7 linked regions of the Ovis aries genome follow. Each later gene encodes a partner of the first gene's protein in a complex. Links are inferred from orthologs where the notes say so. Each region holds a gene or a part of one and is shown in the gene's direction. Other genes may lie near its edges.

Region 1 (4,210 bases):
TGTAGACCCTTCCCAAACCAGGGATTCAATCCATACATTGGCAGGTGGATTCTCACCCACTGTACCACCAGAGCAGTCCCAAGCCTTCTCTTGTAAAACAACTTGCAAAGCACCTGCCCCAAACCTGAGCTGAAGCTGAAATTGGCAGCTCAGAGCAGGAGGAAGGTGTGGAATGAAGGGCAGTTGTCTTTCCCTCCCAAAGTGAATCCACCCAGGACCGAGCCAGACACCTGAGCTCCACCTCTGTTTGAAGATCTCTGTTGCTGGATGAAGGAAGGGGAACTCGGGGAACCCATCCCCAAGTCAGAGCCTCCCTAGCTGCGAAGTTCTGGGGGCATTTAGTCAAAATTTTAGAGCAGAGCAGGCCTTCCTGACAGCATTTCTTGCGTGATTGCTCATTCTAATTGAGGCAGTGGTGATTAGTTGGTAAATCACTGATGAGGGCTTGAAAGGGGCCTGGAGCCCCTGGCCTCTGGCTGCTTGCAGTCCCGAGAGGTCGCAACTGTGGATCTTAGCTACTGTGGCAGGGGCCACTGTTCAGTACACTGACTGAAAGCCTGGATCTTAACATATAGTCACCACAGTGAGGATACTAGGGCAGGGCGGTGGCGGGGGGGGGGGGGGGGATGTTGATGAGTTAACTGAGCTTCTAAGGTTGTAACTTATCCAGGGTAACCCAGCTAGTAATCATCAGAACTGAAATTTAAGTTCTGCTTCTAGTGAACCAATCACCCTTGGTTGCTCTTCCCCTCTTGAAGGACAATTTCCTTTTCTATGAAAGCTAGTCATTTCACAGAAGCTGGTCATTCCTGGTGTCGGGCTTAGGGCTGTGGAGGGAGCGCTGTGGAGGCCTGGGGTCTTCCTGCCTGGTGCCAACTCAGCCTTGCTGACAACCTGGAGAAAGGCCGAGGGTGGCTCCAAAGGTATGCTGCAGCCAGTGGTCAGCTGAGGGCCTCAGGGGAGTTCCAAGAACTGCACGTGCCCTTCCATCATCCTCTTCCGGAAGGGAATGGCCACTGGTGCTTTTCCTGGACCGTCTTCCCACTCGTCATCCCCATCTCCATTTCCACACAAAAGGCCGGAGAAGGAAGAGCCCCGTAGTAGACCAGGAGCCCTGCCGCATCCGCAGCTCCCTGCCTTTCCCTGCAGAAACCCACTGCTCCTAAATATGTCCACTCGACGCACAAAGCATGTCCGGATGCCAGAGTTCTCACTGTCCGCTCTGGGCTCCACATAGTGCCTTAGAGGGGGACACGTATTTGCATCGATCCTGGGCCAAGGCGTGCTGCTACAACCATCGAAGTCCGGCAGCCCTGCCTTCGCACAGCGCATAGCAGTCAACCAGCTTGCGGGAGAACGCATGCGCACCCGCCCTTGAGGGCCCGCCCCCTAGCGACGCACGGCGTCCCTAACAACCTGCGTTCGTGGGGACCTGCGGGAAGGTGAGAGGCCAGGTCTCGGGAGCGGTGAGGTAACCTCTGGAGAGAGAACACCCGGCCCCGGTCTCCCCTAGCGGGCTGAGCTCTCTGCCCCCACTCTCCCCACAGGGCATGGGAGCACCCCACAGAGTCAGCCCACCTGGCCGAAGTCTGCAGGTGACCTTGGCTCCCGTGAGAAGGAAGGGCCGGCCTGTACCTATGGGAAGCCCCCACCCCCATATGAAGTTGACCATGCCTCCTTCCTCCCTACGGCCACTGCAAACTGGCTCTGCGAGTCAGGGGAGGGTCACCGGAGATGGAGAAGGGGAAAGTGGAATGAGAGTCGGTCATGAGTGAGAGCAGTCCCTAGTTCCGGGGCCCCAGCCTTCCTGGAAAGACAGAGCTCTATTCCCAGCTCCTGGGGCTGCAGTCCTTCCCGCAGGTCTAGACACTTCTACACCTCCCTCCCTCCCATGACAAAGCTGGTTATCCCTGGTCACCAAGAAGGAGGGCCCCTTCACCCCAGGCGGGTTGGGGGAGGGACTTGCTAGCATTTGGAGCTGAGGTTCCCTGGTGGGGTGTCTGAATCAAAGGTAGGGATGAGGGTGGAGTTCTTTTTTAAGACCACAGACCTAAGTGCGCAGTTGGGAGGAAAGCCTGGCCCAGGGGTGTGATAAGTGTGCAGACTGTCTCACCAGCAAAAGACCAGGGGTGCTAGGCCAGAACTCTATCAGGGAAACTTTTTTGCCCCTCTTTTGTGATTCCGCAAACTCTGAATTCCCAAATGGGAATGACTTGGCCTGAGGTGGAGTCTGACACAGTAGGCAAGATAGGGATTGGGGAAATGTAGACCAAAGCCAGGGCCCTGAGGAACAGCTGACTGAGAAGGCAGGAAGCACCACCAGAGAAGCTGGGGGATATGGGACGTCAAAGCCCAGCCCCCAAGAAGGGATGTCCAAGGCCACAGAGGTCCTCAGAGAACCTAAGGAAGGCCTGGCACTTCTGCTTCTCAGTTCAGAGAAAGAGAGGTGAGGACCAGGGGTGTGGTGAGCAGAAAGGAGAGAGGATCCTCCTCCTCTAGCATCTTCAACTTTCCCATTTAGGCAGGCAGGTGGAGCCTCTGCCCAAAGTGTTTGGATTTAACTAGGCACTTGAGAAAGATGGAGGAGGTCTGAGACGTTTCTGAGAGGAGGGAAGGTGCGGGAGACTCGAGCACTGAACCCTAGGTCTGGAAGGAACATGGAGGGCCCAAAGTGGGCCACGGGGCAGGAAAGCACAGCTCTGCGGTATCTCTTGGATCCTCGTGGGGCCTCAAAAGCTGAAGTGATCATCAGTTCTGCAGAAGGGCCCTGTGACTGGAAGGGACAGGGAGTGAGGGAGCCTGGGCTTTTCAGGTCAGCACCAATGAGGGTGACCCCAGGCTCCGACTGGAGAGAGTGTGAGGCCCACTGGAAAAGTGCTATGACAACCGAGTCTGGGCAATTTAGGAAGCAATCCCAACATCCCGTGATTTGTCTCTGCTTTTGTGCAGGGAAGTGAGGGACAGCTTTGGACAGACATTGGTTCAGAGCTCAGCTTCTCCATTTACTATGTGATGCTTAGCTAGTTACTTAAGTTCTCTAAGCCTCTGTTTTCCTGTTTGTGAAATGAGGATAATGGTGTCATAATAACAATATTTGTCAATAATAAGTCTGAAGATTTCATAGGCTTATATAGGTACAGCATCTAACATCTTTGTCATGATATCTAACACTTACCTTGAGTGTTGGCTCTGGGCCCAACACTATACAGAATGTCTCACACATGTTTCCTGGTGGCTCAGACAGCAAAGAAGCTGCCTGCAATGCAGGAGATGCAGGAGACATAGGCTCAGTCCTTAGGTCGGGAATATCCACTGGAGAAGGGCATGGCAACCCACTCCAGTATTCTTGCCAGGGGAATTCCATGGACAGAGGAGCCTGGTGAGCTATCACCCATGGGCTCACCAAGAATCAGTCATGACTGAGCGACTGACACTTTCACTTTAGGGCTTCCCAGGTGGCAGGAACGGTAAAGAACCTGACTGCCAGCGCAGAAGACACAAGAGATGCAGGTTCAGTCCCTGGGTTGGGAAGATCCCTGGAAGAGGAAATGGCAACCCACTCCAGTGTTCTTGCCTGGAGAATCCCAGGGACGGGGGAGCCTGGTGGGCTGCCATCTCTGGGGTCACACAGAGTCGGACACGACTGAAGTGATTTAGCAGCAGCAGCAGCAGCCAGTGCAGAAGACACAAGAGATGCAGGTTCAGTCCTTGGGTTGGGAAGATCCCTGGAAGAGGAAATGGCAACCCACTCCAGTATTCTTGCCTGGAGAATTCCAAGGACCGAAGAGCTTGGCAGGCTACAGTGCATGGGATTGCAAAGAGTCAGGCACGACTGAAGCGACTTAGCATGCAAGCATGCATACACATTAGCTCCTTTAATCCTCTGGATAATCTTATGAAGTAGGAACCCCAGTTACTATCCCATATTACAATAAAGAGATGGAGGCTTAATGGGGTTGCATGATTTGCCAGGTTCTCCCAGATGCTGGGGACAGAGTGGAGATTGGACCTCAGGCGGCGTAACTCCTGAATCCTGAGCTAGCTGTTATGCCGCCTCCTCCTGTGCACACACTACTGAGGGCCTGCCCTGCTGCTGCGTGTGTGCATGCTCAGTCACGTCCAGCTCCTTGCGACCCCATGCACTGTAGCCCACCAGGCTCCTCTGTCCCTGGAATTCTCCAGGCAAGAATACTGGAGTGGGTTGCCATGC
Region 2 (4,183 bases), on another chromosome or scaffold:
GACGCAGCAGCAGCAGCAGCACGGCTTATTGACAAGGGGCTTATCTTCTTTGGCCTCACTGTTGCTTGTGATTTAAGTAGGCAGGCAGTACAGCTGAGAAAACAGTAAATTGTGCCATACCCAAGGTGGCAGGGCCTGTCTGCAATTTCTTACTACCCTAGTGCCCTTTTCCGAGTTTCTCTCAGGCCAGTAGTACAAGGTTCGATCAAATGTTATCCTGCTTGTTTTCGAATGAGTCTTAATGCTACATAAGAACGCGGTGCATTTTTTGTCGCAGTGCGACAATTGACACGTACAAAACACCCAGGAAATAGTGCTTTTCAAGGGACAGTAGTCCTTCGAAAGTTTAAATGTGCTTCTGTGCTCTTAACTTTCATTCCTCCCCCCTCACTCCCTTTCCTACCTGTTTTTCTCTGCTCTCCTCTTTTTTCTGTATGTGATTGCGGGTAGTAATGGAGGGAGTGCAGCCCTACTGAAAACCGCTACATAAGACAACGGTTCCTTGTTGGATATACATTTATTGATGGCAGGGGGTTTTCACATTCTAGAGACGATAGAGGCTGAATACACAAAGTAGGAGCTCAAACACTAATGGATGATGGGAATTCCTCCGCGGCTCAGTGGTAAAGAGTCCGCCTGCCAGTGAAGGAGACAAAGGTTGGATTTCTGATCTGGGAAGATCTCACGTGCCACGGAAGAACTAAGCCTGTGTGCTGCAACTATTGAGCCTGTGCTCTGGAGCCTGGAGACTGTAACTACTGCAGCCAGGAGCGGCAACTACCAGAGCCCTTGCGCCCCAGAGCCCTTGCTCCGCAATCAGAAGCCCATGCACTGCAACAAGGAGTAGCTCCCGCTCGCGGCAGCTAGAGAAAAACGCCTGCTGCAAAGAAGACCCAGCACAGCCAAAAGTAAAGTTATACATATTAATTTTTAAAAAGAATGGATGACAAGCAGGTGGATGCAATGTACTTTAGTTCAGAATTTCTGAGTGAACCTATTATTCTACCCCCTCCATCGAGGAAAAGACAACGCTTGGATCCTCGGAGCTAGCACAGTGATTGGCATAGAGTAGACATTGAATTACATTAGCTGAATACGGTGATTTTGAGGATTATTTATTTGATGGATGAATTAATCATAGGGTAGGTAAGTGATGAATCACAACTTGGTTCAGCTCTTAAGTCTTCCGGCCTCTGTTAATACCACCTGAGCCTTAGTGGGGGATTCAATACAGTCCTCACCGTAATTGCAGCAGAGGAATAAAACCCCAAGCTGAGACAACGGCGCTAAGAACACCAGTGCGCCCGGCCTTAGGGGCTGCGCGCGCAACCACGCCAGCTGCGGGTCAGGTGACTGCATTTCCCTGGCAACAGCTTTGTTGTTAGCAACCAAACTGTAGTCCCACGGTGGTCCAGGCAGGGCTGCCCGGGGGGCGGAAGGCACCTGCCATGAATCCGCCAGGATCCCTGGGGGTCCTGGAGGAGAAGGAGGATGAACATTTAGCCACCCCAATTCTCGGACCCTCCGTACATTCTGATAATCCTCAGGAGCGGATCCAGGCCCGGCGCCTGCGCATTGCGGCGCGCCTGGAAGCTCGGAGGCGGTGAGTCAGGGTTTGGGCGCGTTCTTCCAAGGAGCGCCCGGGGTGCAGGTGACCTGGGTGCTGGAATGAGGGGGTGGCTTCTCCAGGCCGGAGCCCCTGTGGTGAGGGGCTCGCGTGCCCTACGTGTGAGCTGGTCTTGCTTCTTGATGAGATAGAAAACTTTTCTGCCAGAAGGTTCAAACAAAGTATGTGATATTAAAGCATTGAATACACTTAGCAAAGTCAAAGATGGAAACAGGAATCCCTCCAGCACGTTCACGGAGAGCCTGCTGCGCCAGGCACTGTGGGCCGTACCTGAAGATGTTGGGGCTTCATGACCGGTCCCCCGAGATCGTTCTTTCCTCCTTGCCTCCCAGCGTGCCTTCCTTCCACAAGGGGTTACAGAGCAGACCTCGGCTATCACTTCTGTTGGTTTCAGTGGCTTAACTGGTTGTGTGACACAAAACCGTTTTCCTGCAGAGTCTGAGGCTGATAACTGTACCATTCTCAGGCTGGGGTTGCCACCCTCGTCCACTCACAGACTTTGTGGCCTGTCTTAAGAAGGGGGATCGAGGGGAACTTGCGTGAACCTGTGACTGCCTGAACACCGCACTGTGTGACAGCGCTTATACCTCGTCCTGCTGGTCAGGGTCAGCTGCCTTGCCAAGATGGTGCTTCTCTTGTTGTCTGCCGGTCTTTGGACACAAGGGGCCCAGAGTGATGTGGCTGTGTTCCAACAAAAACTTAACTTAAGGACACTGAAATTTGCATTTCATATAATGTTCGTGTGTCACAGAATATTCTTCATCTTTAGATCTTTTTTTTTAAAATTGATACACTTCATATTTTAGAGCAGTTTTAGGTTCACAGAAGAATTGAGTGGAAACTACAGAGGTTTCCCATTTACCCCCTACTTCTACACATGTATGAAGCTACCCTGGTGGCTCAGATGGTAAAGAATCTAACTGCAATGTGGGAGGCCTGGATTTAATCCCTGGGTTGGGAAGATCCCTAGAGAAGGAAATGGCAACCCACTCCAGTATCCTTGCCTGGAGAATCCCATACAGAGGGGCCTGGTGGGCTACAGTCCATGGGGTCACAAAGAGTCACACCCAACTGAGTGACTAACACGCACTCTACACATGTATAACCTCCTCCACTATCAATATTCTCCACCAGAATGGTACATTGGTACAACAGTTGGATCTTGATAAATATATAATGACATGTATCTACCCATCACAGTACTGTACTGAAGAGTTTCACTGCCCTAAAAATCCCCTGCACTCTGCCTATTCGTCTTGATCTTTTCAAAAAACCATTTGAAATGTAAAAAAATCATTCTTCACTCCTGAGCCATACAAAAGCAAGTGAATCAGATTTGGCCCATCAGCCAAAGTTTGGCAGCCCTGAGATAACAGATCAGTGTGATGCTCTGTGGGATATCCAAGTGGTCCTGATCTATCTAGACTCTAGTTTGTCAGCTCAGGAGCATTGACATGGCCCTGCAAGTATGAGGACTGTATGAGTGTGTATTATCTGTTCCTCCTCGATATGAACTTCCTAATCCTTTTTCCTGACTGAGGTAGAAATAGCATATTTGGCTCAATCAGTGGCCACATTCCAGGTACCTAAGGCCACACTTATATGTTCAAGCAAGGACCTGCATGACAGCTGCAATTAGGACTGCTGCTTGCTTGAGCTTGCAGTAATTGACAATCATTTTCTTGGCTCCATCCATCCAGTTTTTGCAGGGACCTGACCAGTGAATTAAATGGTGATTTGATAGGCACCACCACTCCCACATCTGTGAGATTCCTAATTGTACTGTGTGCTCAACCACTCAGTCATGTCCAGCTCTTTGTGACCCTGTGGACTGTAGCCCACCAGGCATCTCTGTCGATGGAATTTTCCAGGCAAGAATACTGCAATGGACTGCCATTTCCTTCTCCAGGGGATCTTCTCAACCCAGGGATTGAATCCACGTCTCCTGCATTGGCAGGCAGCTTCTTTGCCACTGAGCCACCTGGGAAGTCCTTGAGATCCCTAAGGGTGATGCTAATCCCTACCGTAGCCCTGGTATACAGTATTGCTTTTTGTGCACTTGGGTGCAGTTTTGGAGTGTCCATTTGACCTTCCATATGGCTATAGCTCTTACCCACAGGCCAACAACCTAGTGTGAGAATTTCTCAACTTTCTAAGCATGTTAAGATCACCCTTGTTGCTCTTTAGGGAATGGTTTGGAGGAACAAAGATCCTACATGCCACTTGGAGTAAAAAAACTCTGCCTTTCCAATGCAGGGGAGGCAGGTTCCATGGGGAGCGAGCTAAGATCCTACATGTACTCCCTGCATTGGAAACTCAGAGTCTTAACCACTGGACCACCAAGGAAATCCTGGATTGTGTTCTTTTTAGTATTCGAATTTTTATCCCTATGGAATATATTTTTGTATATGGTGAAATATACTATGAAAATTTAAAATTAAATCCCCCAGGCCATGCACAGCTCAGCAGAAAGATTTAAAAACAAAACAAAACAAAACAAGAAGTTAGGAAAAAAAGTGAAAGGTTTTACTTCCTAGAATTTAAACTTCATTTTCT
Region 3 (4,263 bases), on another chromosome or scaffold:
CAGAGAAATATCTAAAGAAAGAGTCTGCAGTTCCCTAAATCCACAAGGGGGAAAGCCCTGAAGTTTCTGCTGTTTTCATTTTAGCCACTTTGGTGTTCACAAATCTGGGTGGCAGACAGACAGCAAAGGCTCCCAATAGCAAAAGGCTGGAGAGAGGGGTTTCGGGGAGGGAACAGCTAACCAGGGCAAGCCACTCAGCGTTCTCCCTTCCCCAGATTTATTTTTCCAACTATTCGTGACTCCAGCAAGATGCTAGGCAGCACCCCTAAATGAGGGGTGCCCCCAACATTGCTCCATAAATAATTTAAATAGAAAAATTCAGGAGACTTACTAGAAGGTCAAGAAAATCCACTAGAGGGAGCCCAAATCAACTCAATGCCACAGGGAACCAAGCTGGTTATTTTCTCAGCACCTGTCTGAAAATCAACCACAGACAGGAATAGGGAGAAAGAGGAAATATATTAAGTCACCATAAAAGAAGATAGTCCTGTAAATACCTGGTGAAAATCCAAGCCTTTCAAGATTTACAAAATCAAAGATTTAGGAAACTGAGGCTGAGCAAGGAAAATGACTTACCCAAATTTACATATCTGGAGAAGGGTAAGGATGAGAACTCAAAAGCTCCTGTCTCTAACCAGTACCCTTTCTTCTTGATTTGCATCTATGTCAGGATAGAAGGGCATCGCAACCCACTCCAGTATTCTTATCTGGAGAATCCAATGGACAGAGGAGCCTGGAGGGCTACAGTCCATGGGGTCACAAGAGGTTGCAAGAGTCGAACACGACTGAGGTGACTTAGCACAGCACCTTGAGGTCCTAGGTCGAACTCTCCTCTGTGTCTCATTTATCTGAAATAGGAAACTCTCTCAACCACCATCTCCTGAATTTCTTTCCCTCATTCACCGTAGAATACCTTCCTGAAATCTTCAATTTTAAGCCTATTTAATAATGTCATTTTGTTGATGAGACTTTGGGAAATGTAAATCACCCCAAATGGCTACCGTGAGTTCTTTTCCTCTGTATCAGCGCAATAGCATTATTTTGGATGTGTAAATCTATAATTTGTAAGTGTCCAAATTGCAGGCAGTGCTACATAGAAGTGAATCATATTTAATCAGTTCCAAAGCCCTCTCTCCTCAAACTACACTTAGGATCTGGGGACAAGAAGAGTATTGGCCCTCTGAGACCTTGGTATTTTAAGCATTGTATTTAGCCCCTTCTACCAGACACAATTATAACGACTGAGCAAGCATGCATGTACCTTCCTAACAGCTCCATGTTTCCCAGTTGCCTGGACAACGTGCAGCCTCCAGAAGCCCAACCTTCCAGTTCTCAGTCCCACCCCCAAATGAAATTTGCCACTCTGGATTGGGTCCCAGAACACAATCTCCTCCTCCGGCTCCTAGCTGGTTGGGCCTTTTCTCTGCCCCTCCTGGAAAGTGGGTCACGCCACAGGGAGATACAACAGAGACAAGTGAGGGTCTTGGAGGAAGGAAGAGGCAGGGTAAGGATGATGGGAAGAGAGAAGGGGCCAGGTACTGAGCTTTATTTTCTCTGAAAGAGGGTTGAGAGGAATGATTTCTGTACTTAGAGCTTGACTGGTAGAGAGAAATGGGTTCATCCTTCCCCCTGGCCCCAGCCTTGCCTAAGTTTCCAAGGAAACCAAGAACTGAAGCTTCTGGAAAGTGTAAGAGACAGACTTGGAGATGAGAGCACTAATTCTCCTGGGACTCCTGGTTCCGTCTAGGGAGTCAGGAGAGTGTCTCCATGTCCAGACCTAAATATGAGCCCCCTCCCTCCCTCCAGGACAGGAAGGAGATGCCACCTAAGACCAAAGAAAAAGGGACAAAAGCTGGGGCCCAGAAGAAGAAAAGAAATGCAGGTGCTGGTGAGTCAGACTGGGTGGAGGTGGGTGCCTCCCAGCCTCTCCTTGTTCTGGCTCAGAGACCTCCAGAGAGAATTCATCCCTCTGCGTGACAAGATGGAGCTGTCTTGGCCTTCCCCCTTTATATCCATATTCGGGTGCCATGGAGCTGGGAACATGGGAAAATCAGCACCCATGAATCCCTTCTGGCTGTGTGCCTTCCTTGTATATTCATTACAATCTTTCAAATACCTACTGTGAGCTGGGTAGTGAACTCATTAGGCTTTGCTATCAGAGATCCCTCATTTAATGGTCCTTGTATCTCCCACAAAAAAAAGAGAAGTCCAGGGTATGGGAGGAGGGTGGGAGGAGGGTAGGGAAGGCTGAGATCCTGACAAGCTGAGGGTCTGCTGTCTTGCCAGGGCAGATGTGGAGGCTGAATCCATGCACAGGCTGGCACTGCTGGAAAAGGAGGTGCTCCAAGACCGCTTGGGTAAGAAGGGTAGAAGTTCGGCAACAGAGACAGTGGGCATTTGTGTATCCCTGGGAGCTTAAAGTTTTGGAACAATGGTGGAGGGCTGAGCTGATCTCTAACCATCCCCTAATGGGAAAAGATTGTCAAGAGCTGGGGTCATGAGGACAGGGTGGGCCGTGAGGGTTGATAAAGAAAGCTAACTTTTATAGCTGGAACACAGAGGGAGTTTTTCCCTCTTAGTAACAGAGTCTGTAGGATTCTGAGGCGGGGAAGGGAAACAGAATGACGATGAGAGACTGGCAGGCTGCCGCCAGGTTTCTGAAGGTGGACAGAGTCCATCAAGGCCATGGGGGCTGATTGATTGAGTGGAGCCCCCAACCAGTGCAGAGGGCTGCTCTGGACTGTTCACAGCTCTGCAGAGGGATGAAGCCCGCCGAGCCAAGGCTTCGGAAGACCAGCTGAAGCAGAGGATCAAAGACCTGGAGGCTGAACTGGAGGGGGCCCGGAGCGAAGGGAAGGCCATATATGCAGGTGTGAGGTTGATCGAGCAGGTGGGCGGGAGACAGGGGCCCGGAAGAGGACAACTGGGAGGGCCCAAGGATGCTAGAAAGGGAGACAAGGAGGACTTCGAACCGCCATACCTAGCCTCAGCCCTCCCTGCACCCACAGGAATCCTGAGGGGGCCTTCTGTGGTCTTGGGCAGGAACCTTCCGTGACATGCAGTGCTTTGTGCTTGATGTCCCGTGGACTATGAAACGCAGCCCTAGCCTTTATCTCACTCCTCCCGTGGGAGTGGGTGGGAAGGAGGGCCTGAATTCACATACTGAGCTACCATAGCGGATGGGTGTCTTATTTCCTAGCTCTGTCCCTACCTTCTCAGATCACCACAAGAATCCAGAAGACTTTTTTTTTTTAAGATTTTTTTTTTTTTAATGTGGACCATTTTTAAAGTCTTTATTGGATTTGTTACAATATTGCTTCTGTTTTATGCTTTGGTTTTTTGGCTCTGAGGAATATGGGATCTTAGCTTCCAGATCAGGGATCAAATCCGCGTCCCCTGCATTGGTAGGTGAAGTCTTAACCACTGGACTGCCAGGGAAGGCCCTCAACAGACCTTTATGCACTTGTCCACTGGACCAAGCAGAGCCCTCCCCACCCACAACTTCTGTCCTTTCTCCACTGCTCTCTCCCCATCTGGGTCCCTGGCCACCCACGGCTCTGCCAGAGATGAGTCGTCAGTGCCGGAGCCTGCAGGAGGCGATGCAGAGTCGCACCAGGAAGCTGGAGGAAGAAGTGAAGGGCCTGCAGGAGCAGTTAGGTAGGCTTCCCAGGTGGCCCTAGTGGTAAAGAACCCGCCCGCCAATGCAGGAGACTTAAAAGATGTGGGCTCCATCCCTGGGTCGGGAAGATCCCTTGGAGGAGGGCATGGCAACTCACTCTGTAATCTTGCCTGAAGAATCCCATGGGCAGAGGAGCCTGGATAGCCCCATTCCATGGGGTCACAAAGAGTCAAGCACTAACCGAGTTAGCACGCACACACAGCACACCCTGCCCTCACAGCACTTTCTCTCAGAGGATCACACTGATGTAGTCCAGCCTGAAGGGGTGGAGTTAGAATGGTCTTTCTTTAGAAAACTGCAATTTAAGCTCTCATACTGTCTTCCCCCACTGACTCTTCTACTACTTGCAACAGAAGGTTCAGGATAGCAAAAAATACCCAATCTTAACCTTTTAGTTATAAATGAAGAAGCCCTAACTTTCTCACTGCACCTCCCTCTCTCAATGGTCTCTCTAAAGACAGTTCTTACTCCCCACTGCCCACATGTCTCTCACGAGCAAAACACAGTCTCTCTTAGTTTGGCTGATGTTTAGAATGAAAGCAAGCTTGAATATAACTGTTTGAATTACTTACCTCCGTATCTTC
Region 4 (2,441 bases), on another chromosome or scaffold:
AGATGTGTGAACTCACAGACACCAGAGTTGGCTGTCACCAATAACCATGAACTCAGGAGACAGCACAGAGCCCTCTGAGGCCTCAAGCACAGAGGGTTTGGGGCCCGGTTCTGTGTGGTCATATCTCCATAGAGCTGTCTGGGGGGTGTCTGCGGCCCCTGCTGGTCCAGCCGACCCTCAGTCCCCTTACAGGAGCGCGTGCTACACGAGGAGCACCTGCGACAGGTGGAGGCCCAGCTGGACTACCTGGCCCCATTCCTGGCCCAGCTCCCGCCTGGGGAGAAGCTCACGCGCTGGCAGGCCGTGCGCCTCAAGGAGGAGTGCCTCAATGACTTCAAGCAGCGGCTCATTGACAAAGCCAACCTCATCCAGGCCCGGTTTGAAAAGGTGCAGCCGGGGCCCTGGCAGGGGTGGGGACCTCGGCATCCTTCACCGGAAAACTAGCCCAGGGCTGTTGGCTCACCATCTCATAGACTTGTGAGGGACTAACGGGTGGAAGGGGAGGAGGTCAGTGCCTGGTGTGTCCAAAGGACCAAGCTGTCCTTCCTCATCCTTGTTTATTGGGTTGAAGGGTGGATGGAGAGGTGGATGAGTGAACAGAGGGATGGAGGCGTGGATGGCTGGAGCATTATAACAACTCCTATAGTTTTTGACCCATTTCTGTTGGTCAGGTACACACCGTGTAGTTCCCCTGCATTATCTTATTTAATCTTCACAAACGGCTCTATGGTGGTGCGGGTGGGGGTGAGTGCAATGACCCTCATTTTGCAGATGACAGATTGGAAGCTCTGAAAATGTACTTTGACCAGAGTCACATGGCTCTCAGTCCTAACTCCTGCTCTAACCTCGTGGACATGTTGTTGTTTAGTCGCTAAGTTGTGTCTGACTCTTTCTAACCCCATGGACTGTGCAGCCCACCAGGGTCCTCTGTCCATGGGATTTCCCAGGCAAGAATACTAGAGTGGGTTCCCATTTCCTTCTCCAGGCAATCTTCCCCAGTCAGGGGTCGAACCCTCGTCTCCTCTATTGGCAGGCTGATTCTTTACCACTGAGCCACCTGGGAAGTCCTTGTGGACATATAGCCCTCTAACAAGGCCCCAGGTTTTCTGCCTCTGCTTCTCTCGCTTCTATGAGAAGGGGTGACGGGGCTGACCTTGTGGGGCTGTCTGATGCCCTGTGCAGGAGCGGGGTCAGCCTGCAATTTGGGTCAGCCCTCCTGCTCTCCTTCCCCGTGCCCACAGGAGACTCAAGAGCTGCAGAAGAAGCAGCAGTGGTATCAGGAGAATCAGGTGACCCTGACACCTGAGGATGAAGACTTATACCTGAGTTACTGCTCTCAGGCCATGTTCCGCATCCGTATCCTGGAGCAGCGGCTCAGCCGGTGAGGAGGCAGGGGTGGCGGGAGCCAAGAGGACCCACAAGGATGTTGGAGCATCAGCTTTTGTTTTTTTGGTTGTGCTGGGTCCTCATTGCGGTGCATAGGCAGAAGCGGTTGTGGCACGCAGGCTTAACTGCCCTGCGGCATGTGGGCTCTCAGTTCCCTGACCAGAGATCCAACCCATGTCCCCTGCAATGGAAGAAGGATTCTTAACCACTGGACCACCAGGGAAGTCTCAAAGTACCAGCTTTGTAAACCCTCCCTCTGATTTCAGACACAAGGAGCTGGCCCCACTGAAGTACTTGGCTCTGGAGGAAAAGCTCTACAAGGACCCACGCCTGGTGGAGTTACTTAAAGTCTTTGTTTGATGCTCTTCACCCCCTACACCTGTGGTCCTCTGAGTCCCTCCTGAGGCCCCAGCAAAGCTGCCAGAGAAAGAAACCTCCCCCAAAGCCTGGCCCTTGTGTTCCCTATGCCCAGCTAATGACCATCCACTCAGGCACACTACTTTCCTGCTTTTCCTAATTTACCTATAAATAAACACTTGCCATTTGCCACGTGTACCTCATGTTTCACAGACTCCAGCAGCAGCCCTTTTCTCCTTCTCTTCTTTATCTGTGGCCTGGGACCACCTTTACAGTCTTATCTTATTTAATACAGCAACTGCATCCCCATTTCACACATGGCTAATTAGTGGCTGCTAAGAAGAGGCGCTGGAATTCAGTCTCTTGCAGCCTAGCGTCAAGAAGCCAAGTTCTGGGGCACACACCGTAGGCTTGCCATTCCCACTTTGTGAGCTGGGCCACCCCAGCCATGGTGGGGGTGCAAGACCCTCAGTTTGCAGACAAGAAACTGGAAGCTCTGAAATGTACCGGATCCAGAGCTACATGGCTGTCTCAGCCTTAACCCCGGGTCTGACTTCATAAGCATTATATCCCTTTAAACAAGATCCCAGTGGCTTTCTCCCAAGACATGTGTGTGACCCCTGCCTCTGCTCCTCTGACTTCTGTGGGTAGCGGCTCTTCCCAAAGCCCACCCCACCCGAGTCCCAAATGAAGTCGGC
Region 5 (3,500 bases), on another chromosome or scaffold:
ATTTGTCCAATTACAGAAAAACTCGCTGACCCCTGCTTTAGACCCTCACCAGAGGGTATCATCTCTTGTTATAAATAATCTGGTTTCACATTTGCATCCCTTAAAGATGGTGTCCTGTTTATAAGCTGCTAGTTAATGTCCTTTCATTCTCAGTGTGTGGGATCATAGTTTTTCAATTGATATGACTTCATTGTATTTATTTTCTCAATATAGTTATTGAATTTTTTTGTGTGAACTATTGGTAATAATTATGTAAAACAGTAAGTATACTTCTTGTGATTCTATATCAAAACATTAAATAACAGTATTTAAAATTCTCTACCTAGGAGAAAATACTCAATGGACTAAGAGTCAATAATCTGAATTAAATAGTTCTAGCTCTTTTTCAAGCTAGTTCTGTGAACTTGGGCAAGGAAGGCATTTAATCTTCCTGAGTCTGGAGTCACTCATCTCTAAAATGTATTGTATTAGCTCTTTATACAAAATTTTTTTAATGATTTAACTTTTTCAAATTATAAAATATTTCAACAATGCAGAAAAATGTGAAGAATAAAATTATTAATCCTTATGTATATAACCACCAAATCTTAACATTTTACATGATAGCTTTAAGAGTTTTTTTTTCCAAATAAAATATGTCAGGTACAATTGAAGACTGATTCTATTCCCCTCACCCTTCCCCCAAATAGTTCTTCTGAATTTGTTGTTTATTGTTCTCTTGTATATGTTGTGATACTTTTATTAGGTATGTAAGTATTTTATTTAAATGATACATATAGGTGGCTCAGATGGTAAAGAGTCTGCCTGCAATATGGGAGACCTGGGTTCGATCCCTGGGTCAGGAAGATCCCCTGGAGAAGGAAAATGGCAACTCACTCCAGTATTCTTGCCTGGAGAATTCCATGGACAGAGGAGCCTGCTGGGCTACAGTCCATGGGGTCACAGAGAGTCGGACATGACTGAGTGACTAACTTTCACGTTCACGTTCATAGTTTTACATGTTCTTAAATGTTGTATACACAATATCATGCTGTACATTCCAGGTCCGTTAGTCTTCAGTATGTAAACTTTTTCCGGTTAAGGAGTTTCTCTTTTTGGCTAAGAGTTGTTGTTTGTTTTTAAATGATGTGATGATCATTTGGCTTTTTTCTCCTTTTGTCCTTATTAATGTGATGATTTCCATTAGTAGATTTTCTAATACTAAACTATTTCTGCCTTCCAAGAATAATTCAAATTTAGTTATGATGGTCCTTCTGAGTCTTAACTTGTGTGATTTTTGTAGCTCTTTGTGAATGTGGGGAAATATACCTCACTGATTCATCTTACATTTCTCCTTATAGGCAATTTTTGAGTGATGTAATTACAGAAACTATGGAGGAGTTGCAAGAAGAAGGCACTTTCACCAGTCTCCTGAAAGCTTTGGGCAAAGAGAGGGAAAGCAAAATGCATTTCTATGATATCATTGCCAGGTGAGAGTAACTTTAGGTTTATTTGCTTTGTTGCCTTTTAAAGTGCTATAAAACTCTTACTGGAAGTCTTAGATTTCTAAAGCAAATCAAGTTTTTGCTTTTAAGGGGAGATAACTAGGAGTCAGAAAGTTGGGTTCTGTTTGGAGTTCTGCTGGAACAATAGCTCAATTTCTGGGCTTCAGTTATCTGTATCTATAATATATATAGTACAATATATGTACTACACAGATGAGTAGTGCATAATCTATGGTTTGTTTTGGCAATGACAATCTCAAGATTCTAGTTAGCAGGATTTCTCGAGATGTTACTTAATGATAAGATTTTGTTGTTGTTGTTGTTATTGTTGTTGCTATATAGACTGAATGTTTGTGCTCCTCTAACCTCAGTTTTTGGAATCCCAACCTCCAGAGTGATGGTTTTAGGAGGTTGGACGTCTTTGGTCAGTGAGTAGGTCTTAAGGATGGAGCCCTCATCTGTGGGATTAGTGCCCTGATAAACAAGACCCAGGAGAGCTGTCTTCCTCTTCTGTCATGTAGATACAAACGAAAATGGGCAGTTGTGAACCAGGTGGCAGGTTCTCAGCAGACACTGAGTTGGATGATACCCGGATAGACTTAATAGCCTCCAGAACTGTGAGCAATGAATTTCTCTGTTTATAAGCCTTCCAACCTATGATATTTTTATTATGGCAGCTCAAGCTAAGATAGGTATTATTATTTTTTTTTATTGTATTGTTCTGTTATTTTGTTTTAAACCTAAATAAGGGGATTTCTGGAGATAAGCAGAATTCTGTTTCTGAGGGCAAACAGAAACAACATAAAATAGTTAAATTCTCATTCAGCCAGAACTGAGTTTAAATTCTGCTCTGCCATTTAAACTCATTCTGCTCTGTGACTATGGCAAGTGTGTGAGTCTGTATCTTCTTAGAGACAGATGACAAGATGAGATTATTAATGTAAAGATTTTTATCAGGGAAACCCTTATGTGAGAGAAAATGGGGAGGGAGCCTTTGGACTCAATGCTAGACTCACCGTAAGTGAAGGAGAGGGAAGGTTGGGTGGATGAGACCACCCTGCAATCTAAGGATGATTTGGCAAGGTCAGCAGGCAGTCCTTGAGCGAAAGTCAAGCATCAGAAGAGTCCAGAGTCTCCTAGGGAGGGATGGCCTTATCCCTGCCACCCTCAAAACTTGGCTGGGAGCAGTCTGTGGGAAGGATTGCCTCAGAGCACAAACAGTGGAGGAATTCAGAGTCGAGAGCTTGGACCCTTGTTTGCTTACATTGCCTGTACTAGGAGGTCTAGGGGCACATTCTCAGGCCCTCTGCAGCAAGTTACCTCAACTCTCTATGTGCATTTTCCTCATCTGTAAAACGGGAGTGATGACAGAGATTATGTCCTTAGATTTGCTTAGAGGTGCTCGGAATAGAAAAGATTCATCTTTTTCCTCTTCCTGTTCCTCCTCTTCTTAGCTTGTTCTCAGCAGCAGCAATTTTAGATACCACACTGATAAGCCAGAAAATCCTCTTCCAGTTTACTACAATCACAATCTTTTTTAAAAATAAAGTGTTTTTTTAATTGAAGGATAATTGCTTTATAGAATTATGCTGTTTTCTGTCAAACCTCAACATGAAGCAGCCATAGGTATACATATATACCCTCCCTTTTGAAACTCCGTCCCATCTCCCTCCCCATCCCACCCCTCTAGGTTGATACAGAGCCCCTGTTTGAGTTTCCTGAGCCATACAGCAAATTCTCAGCTATCTATTTTATATATGGTAATATAAATTTCCATGTTAGTCTTTCCATACATCTCACCCTCTCCTCCCCTCTCCACATGTCCATAAGTCTATTCTGTATGTCTGTTTCTACATTGTTGCCCTATAAATAAAATTTTCAGTACCATTTTTCTAGTTTCTGTATATATGTATTAGAAGATGGTATTTATCTTTCTCTTTCTGATTCACTTCACTCTGCATATGAGTTCTAGGTTCATCCACCTCATTAGAACTGACTCAAATGTGTTTCTTTTTA
Region 6 (3,500 bases), on another chromosome or scaffold:
ATATCTATTTGTGTGATATATATACAAGTTTCAATATAAATAGGGAGCTACTATTAACTTTTTTTTATAAAATAGAGAGTTGGGATAGATAGGTAGATGGACAGATAGATATCAAAATTGACTGTTTTTTATAAACAGCTCTTTATTCTTTATATTTTATTTAATGAATTTCTGAGAAAACTTAAAGAAAAATAATTTTCTTTTACTTAAACCCTCGATAGCTGTAATGAGTGGACAGTACATGTATGTGCTTTTCAGAGCAGGAATAGAGAGTCCATCCAGCTAACTACATATTGATCTGTTTATGGCTGCTGCAAATCAGTAAATCCTTTCCTCTTGATTGGCTCCTGTTGGTACCTCAGAGTGGACTCTGGTGATTTTAACATAGGGTGGTGGTGGTGGTTTAGTCGTTAAGTCATATCCGACTCTTGCGACCCCATGGACCCTGGCCCGCCAGGCTCCTCTGCCCCTGGGATTTTCCAGGCAAGAATATTGGAGTGGATTGCCATTTCCTTCTCCAGGGGATCTTCCCAACCCAGGAATCGAACCCAGGTCTCCTACATTGCGGGCAGATTCTTTACCGACTAAGCTAGGTAGTGGGTCTCTATTTCTGAGAGGAAGCAATTAGCTATAGTTAAGAATGGTGTCCCCAAGGCCTGCCTTAATCATCCTCCTTCTTGGCCTGGCCCCTGTGTTTGAGCTTTGGACCCCTGCTTAAACATAAAATATATATATATATATATATATATATATATATATATATATATATATATAGAGAGAGAGAGAGAGCGAGCAATCTATTTAATCACAGGGCATTTAAAAGTACTATCTCATGACTCTATTTCTATGAATAAATCTGGAAGTTCTGGTTTTATAAAGAACAGATTTGTTTAAAAGGATATGCTATATAACTTGACATTTTGTTACATCTATAATATCTTAATTTATAAGGGCAAAGGTAATGTTTACAAGTTAATGAAGTCTCAGCAGTACTATATTTTGCTGTCAATAGTAATCAATTTCAGATGCAATTAAAATAAAAACTATCAAATGCAGCATTGTTTCATGTTATAAACCTGATAGAATATTAATCATAATACTGTGCAATTATATACAGTAATCTAATGCATTTTCTTCAGATGCACTACTGCGGATACAAAAGATGTTCCACTGCTACAAGATGATAGTTATCCTAAGTAAATGGAGGGATAGAGCAAGACATAAGTTTAAAAAGAGAGAAGATGAGCTGGTATGGCATATTGGACACTTACTGTTTTTTAGAAACTGAACTTTGCTGTTACATTGATGTTGTCTCAGATGATAACGCTACGCGTGGAAAACACTGAAGACTTGCATATTATATACTTTTAAAGGGGTCCTTTTTCTTTTAATTTAACAATCTAAATGCCTCCTCACTTACCCAAAATATTTCCTAATAAATTTTGCTCTTTCATTTGAAGTTCAACATCAAGGAAACATCTTTTTAACATTTCATTTTAATTTATTGATAAAGACACTAAGAATTTTGTTTAAGCAAGTGTTTAGGTGGAAATAAATGTTTAAAGTGGAAGAGAAATGGTTTGATATGATTATAACAGAAATAAATGGTAGACTAAATTTATTCTTTTCTAGATAAGGTTGCATTTCTATCTACTCTTTTCAATATCCAATTTAGTAAATTAAAATCTTAATACTAAATTATCTTTAAAGCTACTAAATTTCTACACTTGAATCATTCTTAACTGGGACACGTATTAGAAATTAAAGCAGTCAAAACAGAGCATCCAGGCAAACTCCTTCAAACTTATAATAATAAAAACATCTCTAGTTTGCTTTAGCTATCAGCATAGTAAATTATCATTTAATGTTTTTTAGAATATTCATAGTAACTACTAGGAACAGATACAGAAACATGCTGGAATTTTTTGTAGTTATATTATTTAGTATGTAATGTTTTACTAATAGTCTGAAATATAAAGTCGGGATAAATAAGAAAGAGAAAACTAGGAAGAAATTAAACCCCATTTTACGGTTCCTGGTGAAAAGGTAACTGCGTGACCAGGCTGCCGTTTTATATCCCCTTAAACTGAATGTCCCTGAGAGAAGGCAGCACTGTTCTCTTTAACCATCCCCATACACTAAACATGATGTTTTGTAGTAATTGATATATATATATATATAAATATGTATGATAGTGTATATTATATATGACACAGTAATATTATCCCTAATATGTGAAAGCAGTGAAAGTGAAGTCGCTCAGTCGTGTCCGACTCTTTGCGACCCTATAGACTGTAGTCTACCAGGCTCCTCCATCCATGGGATTTTCCAGGCAAGAGTACTAGAGTAGATATGTATTAAATAGTTAATTGAGTATTTAAAGAAAATGTTTTATTTTAGCTATGTGATTTCTTGGCCTAGTGGTACTGCTGCACTCACTAGGGTGGAGTGAGGACAGCAGGTGTCTGCTGGGAGGAGAGAGCTACGTGCCAGCTCTCCACTGTGCACGCTTCCTTAGGCTCTAGTATGTACATATATTGCAGGAAAATTGTGTGTGTGTATGGGTACAACACTTATTTACCCTTGAGGGTTTTTTCCTTGATTATGCGCTCTTAATGAATGGATTGAAAGTAAAAATGGGGATTTACTGTAATGATACATCAGGCAATTCTCCAAATTCTTTCCTTCTGACTTTTTTTAAGAAAAACGTTTATATATATATATATATATATATATATATATATATACACACATACACACACACACACACACACACATATATATATACACTTTTTTTTTTTTTTCATTTTTGGCCATGCCACACGGTTTCTAGCATCTTAGGTCCCTCAACCAGGGACCTTGAACCCAGGCTCTTGATAGTGAGAGGTTGGAGACCAGAGAAGTCCCCTGACTCTCCTCTTACAGCTCCAGGGTAACCCTTACCCTTCCATGCCCCAAGTATCAGTTCTGTCATTACCAGAACCTTGACTCTAGGTTTCAGCTTTCTCATTTCTATAAGAGAAGGCTGGCCCACATCTTCAAGGTGACTGCCTATGCCAGTATTGTATGACAACTAGTGGAAATGATCTATAATGCTTTGGTGGTTCAGAGACTATTACATATGCCCTGGACAATGATAATTTATATAATGATGATGATAATAATGTTTAATTGGTGCTGTCATTATATCAAGCATTGTGCTTTATATGTATCGTCTCATTTAGTCCTTACAACAATTCCATGGAATCTGTAAATTATTTTCATGGCAGATGCTAAAGCATGAACTTCAATTACAAAAATTCTCCAAGTTAAAATTCAAAGCAAATTCTAAAGAAGAACACTTTTTTCCTGAACAATTTGTGTCTGAAGACTTTCTTATAGGTGGGATTCCTGATTTTGACATTTCACAGTTACCCAAAAGAGCAATATTACAGGTTCGTATGAACTCATGTCTTAACTAGTTGTTTTGATAATGTTTTCTTAAAGAGTGGTTTTATAAA
Region 7 (4,138 bases), on another chromosome or scaffold:
GTATAATATATGACTGTTTGCTTGTAATGAATGCATTAGTTTTGTGGCTCTCAGAGGGGGTTATCACAACAGAGACATATGTGCCTCAATATGTGAATAGTGTTGCTGTTAGGAAATTTTACTCAGCTGATGTCCCCACTTCACAATGAGGAAAGTGAGGTTTAGAGGGGTTAAATTAACCGACCTCTTGTAAGTAGACCGCTGGGAAGTAATAGAGCCCAGATTTCAACCCAGGCAGTCTCACCCTCCCTGCTTAACCATTACCCTTCCTCTCTTCCCAGACCAGTCCCCTCATCTGAATTCAAACCCATAATTTTAGAGAGGGAAAACTGAGGCTCGGGGAAGAGAAGGGACGTTACTTAAAGTCACAGTGCTTCTCCCTCTAGAGAGGACCCAGAATGGAAGGGTCACCCCTTAGGGAAAGGTCCCAGGGAAAGCCGGCAGGCCGTCCCGCGCTCCACTCGGGCAGACGGACCGGGCAAGAGTCTCTTGCAGGGTGGGTGGACTGAGGGCTCCAGGGAGATGAGCATTTGAGAGAGAAAGGGGAGCGAAGAGGCGTGCGGGATTCTACTCCACGTGTTCGACTTTGAGCCCCCTCTCCCGCCCCGGGCTTCCTCGGGCGGTCCCCACGCTGGGCCCCCTCCCCACATCAGGACTGGAGGGAGAGAAGCGCAGCAATGAACTTCCCCGCAACCCCTCTTGGCCCGACCTGCCCGCCTCCCACACCCAAATACCCAGCCGCAACCTTTCACTCCGAGCCCCCTGCCCCTTGACCTCTGCCCTCTCCTCTGACCATCCCTCACATGCCTCGAATTCTTACACGCGCCGCCCCAGCAACCCGGACCGACCGCCGGGGTCCGCACAGCACAGCACAGCCCGCCGGCGCAGCCGCCAAAGCCCCGAGCCCGGAGCTGTTGCAGCTGCAGCAGCCGCCGCAGAAACCGCCACCTCAGCCGCTGCCACCACGGCAGCTGCGCCAGCTCTCCCATCCGCCGCCTACTGTCCCCTTCGCCTGGCCGGCACCGCCCCAGTCCCCCCTTCGCCGCGCCCTATTGGCTAACTCGGGCGTCATGATGATCTCTGATTGGCCAATCCTTACGTCCTTCCCCAGTTAATACAAGCCTCCTTGCCCACCTCCCTGGGGAAGAGAGGCGGGACAAAGAAGCTCCGCCCCTTTCACGCCTATTCTCCCCGCCTTACTCGTTCAGCTTAACCCTGAGGGACGCCCGGCTCTTCCAATTGGTGGAGAGTTAGACACACCTTGTTTCTGATTGGTCAGTCCTCAGGAGGTGGACCAAACCGAGGGGAATAAGGAATCGAATGGCGAAAAGGAAAGTTAATCAGACACCGAGTCCCGCCTTCTGAGATTGATGGGTAACCTAGCAACGCAGGAACAGCTGTGGTAACCAAGGACAGAAAAACTTAAAGACCACCGAGCAGGTGAGTGATCATGTGGGGAAGGGCTGGAGATGATGGGGAGATGTTGAATGGGATCTAGTCCTCTTATCTTTTTGACACTCTGAGGAATCAGCATCCCGTCCCCCCTCCCCCCACCGCTAGCCCGTCCCCAGCTCAGGACCCTGATCTCCAGCCCCTGCCTCAGTCTGGACGTCCCTCTCGACCTTCTGCAAAGACGACTGGGCGTCCTCTTTGGTGTCTCTGCCTCTACTCTGCCCTTCCTCTTGTCCACTTCATGGTTCCACTTCCTCATCCGTAAAACGTGGATGATACTAGTCAAGTGGACTCACAGCTAAGTTAAACTACTTTCAAGTTACACATAGGTGTTGGGGGTGAGAGAGTAGTTTTATAAGTCCCCTACCATTCTGTCAACAGCTTATAAATCCCAAGGTGAGCATGCAATGAGAGTGAGTGTTTAAATTATGTACCTTTGTACCAATGTTGGCCTTTTGTGCTATAATAACTTTAGACCTTAACTTCCATCACTGTCCTTAAAATATAATTTCATTTACATACTCAAGAGAAAGGGTTTGTTGCAAGGATTAACTAAAACAAAGTAGAATAGTTGTCGCCAGGGGCTGGGGGAGTGGGAAACGGGCAGTTATTACTTAACTGGTACAGAGTTTCAATTTGGGATGATGAAAAAGTTCTGGAAGGCAGATGGTGGTGATGGTTGCATATAGATATGAATGTAACAATTTAATGCCACTGAATTTTAAATGGTTACAGTGGTAAACTTTATGTTGCCTGCATAAGTGCTCAGTTGCTTCAATCAAAGTCAGTCGCTTCAGTTGTGTCTTGACTCTGCAAACCCTTGAACAGTAGCCCGCCAAGGCTCCTCTGTCCGTAAGATTTTCCGGGCAAGAATACCTGAGTGGACTGACATTCCCTCCTCTACGGAATCTTCCCAACCCAGGACTCCAACCCGGTCTTCTGCACTGAAGGTGGATTCTTTACCCCTGAACTTATGTATATTTTAACACAGTAATAATTTTTCAAAGCAACTATAAAGCTAGACAAAACCATCTATTGCTAAATTAGCACTCTGAAAATCAGCCAAAGGCATACAACAAACTGAGAGCTTTTATTCATAAAACCACCGAACTTCAAGTTTGTTTTGTACTTACCTGGGACTTCTCTGATTTCCCCATACTCAGTTCTATCTGGCATAATAGTTCAACGAGGGCAGGTAGCCCCCTGAAAACCAAGAGCTTCACTGTCGCTGTCTGATGGGGCTCACTTGATTTGGAGGACTCTTGGCTAAAGTAGCAATCTTGGTGGGACGAGAACAGGGAACGCCAGCGGGTGTAGCAGTCCAAGGTTGTAGTTCTATTCGGCGCCAACAGTGCACTGAAAACTTGGAGTTCTGGGGAATGCGGCATCCATGCGGAACCTGATGAGCTCTGTCTTACCTTGACTGACTAGAGGTTATGCGCATGTGCAGCAGAGACCTGCTCCGGCCCAAGAGACTTAGAAATGCTTGGCCTTTGGAGCCTGGTGTAGACAGGTGTACTGAGTGCATAGGGTACTTGCCATCCAAGAATAGGAGCCTTACTGGTTCAAAGTGTGAGCACAACCCCTGACTGATTTTTGGCTGAATATTAAACTATGTGGATACATAGGTGACCCCTAGGAAGCCAAGTTTTAAAATAAAAATATGCAAAAAAAATTAAGCAGAGATATCAGTAGCTGCACACCATGGAGGAGACTGACTTGACAGATTTAGTCCAGGAAGTAAATTACCAAATGCCCAAGCAAAACAAAAACAGCAATCATTAGGAAAAAAAAATACTGTGTTGCTACCAAAAAAAATTTCCCTCTAAGATTTCCAGTGTTCAATAAAAATTGTGAGATGTGTGTAAACATACTCAGGGGAAAAATGCAGTCAATAGAAACAGTCTCTATGTGTCCCCAGATGTTGGTTTCAGCAGACAAAGACTTCAAAAAAGCTATTATAAATACGATCAAAGAACTAAAGGAAACCATGTTTAAATAACTGAAAGAAGACAAGATAACAATGACTATCAAATAGAAAATATTTAGTATCCCAGAATAGATTATGATAAATTAAGGTGTACATTATAATCCCTAAATCGACCACTAAAAAAAAAAAAAAAAAAAACACTCAAAAAATATTTTAAAAATCAATGGAATAATTAAAAGAATGGACTAAAAACATTTAACACAATAAAAAGCATTCAGTAAATAGCATGGGGACAAAAAAGAAAAGGCATGAAATGCCAGAAGCCAGTGTGAGGAATCCTGCCCGTGACAAGGTCATGAGGAAGGAAGCTGACATACGCAAGGTCGTGATCAGACTTCAGAGTTCCCCCTGGCATTTCCTGAGCATGTACCCCCCAAAACCAAAAATCTGCCAGCCTTTGTACTCTGCTTTTCCACTTTTCTGATATTCTCTGGAAAAAAGTCAATTCAGGGCTTTAGTCTTCTGCATTTGAAAGGAATGTTTCAGTTAAACCCCCTCTGATTGCTCTCTAGCTTGCCTAACAGGTTCCCCAGACCTCTTGTGAATTGCTTACAGCCCCCCAACCGTGAGAGGCACAAGGCTTAGAAGCATCTTAAAGATACAGAGCCATTTCTAAAGAGTTAAAAATTATATTGGTAGAGGGTTTTTGCTGTTGACTCAATGACTGCTGCCAGGCCTCCATATTCTTTATCTTTT

The links.
Region 2: TCTE1 (region 1) and DRC1 share a complex: the UniProt entries of both Homo sapiens proteins name them as parts of the nexin-dynein regulatory complex. The link is inferred for Ovis aries from reciprocal best matches to the Homo sapiens genes DRC5 and DRC1.
Region 3: TCTE1 (region 1) and CCDC153 share a complex: the UniProt entries of both Homo sapiens proteins name them as parts of the nexin-dynein regulatory complex. The link is inferred for Ovis aries from reciprocal best matches to the Homo sapiens genes DRC5 and DRC12.
Region 4: TCTE1 (region 1) and DRC7 share a complex: the UniProt entries of both Homo sapiens proteins name them as parts of the nexin-dynein regulatory complex. The link is inferred for Ovis aries from reciprocal best matches to the Homo sapiens genes DRC5 and DRC7.
Region 5: TCTE1 (region 1) and IQCG share a complex: the UniProt entries of both Homo sapiens proteins name them as parts of the nexin-dynein regulatory complex. The link is inferred for Ovis aries from reciprocal best matches to the Homo sapiens genes DRC5 and DRC9.
Region 6: TCTE1 (region 1) and FBXL13 share a complex: the UniProt entries of both Homo sapiens proteins name them as parts of the nexin-dynein regulatory complex. The link is inferred for Ovis aries from reciprocal best matches to the Homo sapiens genes DRC5 and FBXL13.
Region 7: TCTE1 (region 1) and IQCD share a complex: the UniProt entries of both Homo sapiens proteins name them as parts of the nexin-dynein regulatory complex. The link is inferred for Ovis aries from reciprocal best matches to the Homo sapiens genes DRC5 and DRC10.

The regions. Positions count from the first base shown.
Region 1 is NC_056073.1:17,779,403-17,783,612, reverse strand, and holds the start of TCTE1 (dynein regulatory complex subunit 5), read left to right. Parts: upstream 1-1,410; 5' UTR 1,411-4,210. UniProt on the Homo sapiens protein: Component of the nexin-dynein regulatory complex (N-DRC) a key regulator of ciliary/flagellar motility which maintains the alignment and integrity of the distal axoneme and regulates microtubule sliding in motile axonemes.
Region 2 is NC_056056.1:33,576,704-33,580,886, forward strand, and holds the start of DRC1 (dynein regulatory complex protein 1), read left to right. Parts: upstream 1-1,383; 5' UTR 1,384-1,448; coding exon 1,449-1,603; intron 1,604-4,183. UniProt on the Homo sapiens protein: Component of the nexin-dynein regulatory complex (N-DRC) a key regulator of ciliary/flagellar motility which maintains the alignment and integrity of the distal axoneme and regulates microtubule sliding in motile axonemes.
Region 3 is NC_056068.1:29,498,872-29,503,134, reverse strand, and holds the start of CCDC153 (coiled-coil domain-containing protein 153), read left to right. Parts: upstream 1-1,463; 5' UTR 1,464-1,687; intron 1,688-1,806; 5' UTR 1,807-1,818; coding exon 1,819-1,888; exon of another isoform or gene 1,889-2,173; coding exon of another isoform or gene 2,174-2,213; intron 2,214-2,286; exon of another isoform or gene 2,287-2,291; coding exon 2,292-2,357; intron 2,358-2,726; coding exon 2,727-2,870; intron 2,871-3,408; coding exon 3,409-3,657; intron 3,658-4,263. UniProt on the Homo sapiens protein: Component of the nexin-dynein regulatory complex (N-DRC), a key regulator of ciliary/flagellar motility which maintains the alignment and integrity of the distal axoneme and regulates microtubule sliding in motile axonemes.
Region 4 is NC_056067.1:25,289,716-25,292,156, forward strand, and holds the end of DRC7 (dynein regulatory complex subunit 7), read left to right. Parts: intron 1-192; coding exon 193-387; intron 388-1,241; coding exon 1,242-1,381; intron 1,382-1,652; coding exon 1,653-1,746; 3' UTR 1,747-1,941; downstream 1,942-2,441. UniProt on the Homo sapiens protein: Component of the nexin-dynein regulatory complex (N-DRC) a key regulator of ciliary/flagellar motility which maintains the alignment and integrity of the distal axoneme and regulates microtubule sliding in motile axonemes.
Region 5 is NC_056054.1:191,041,638-191,045,137, forward strand, and holds part of IQCG (dynein regulatory complex protein 9), read left to right. Parts: intron 1-1,340; coding exon 1,341-1,469; intron 1,470-3,500. UniProt on the Homo sapiens protein: Component of the nexin-dynein regulatory complex (N-DRC), a key regulator of ciliary/flagellar motility which maintains the alignment and integrity of the distal axoneme and regulates microtubule sliding in motile axonemes.
Region 6 is NC_056057.1:45,810,764-45,814,263, reverse strand, and holds part of FBXL13 (F-box and leucine-rich repeat protein 13), read left to right. Parts: intron 1-1,139; coding exon 1,140-1,249; intron 1,250-3,269; coding exon 3,270-3,434; intron 3,435-3,500. UniProt on the Homo sapiens protein: Substrate-recognition component of the SCF (SKP1-CUL1-F-box protein)-type E3 ubiquitin ligase complex.
Region 7 is NC_056070.1:61,298,425-61,302,562, reverse strand, and holds the start of IQCD (dynein regulatory complex protein 10), read left to right. Parts: upstream 1-1,338; 5' UTR 1,339-1,440; intron 1,441-4,138. UniProt on the Homo sapiens protein: Component of the nexin-dynein regulatory complex (N-DRC), a key regulator of ciliary/flagellar motility which maintains the alignment and integrity of the distal axoneme and regulates microtubule sliding in motile axonemes.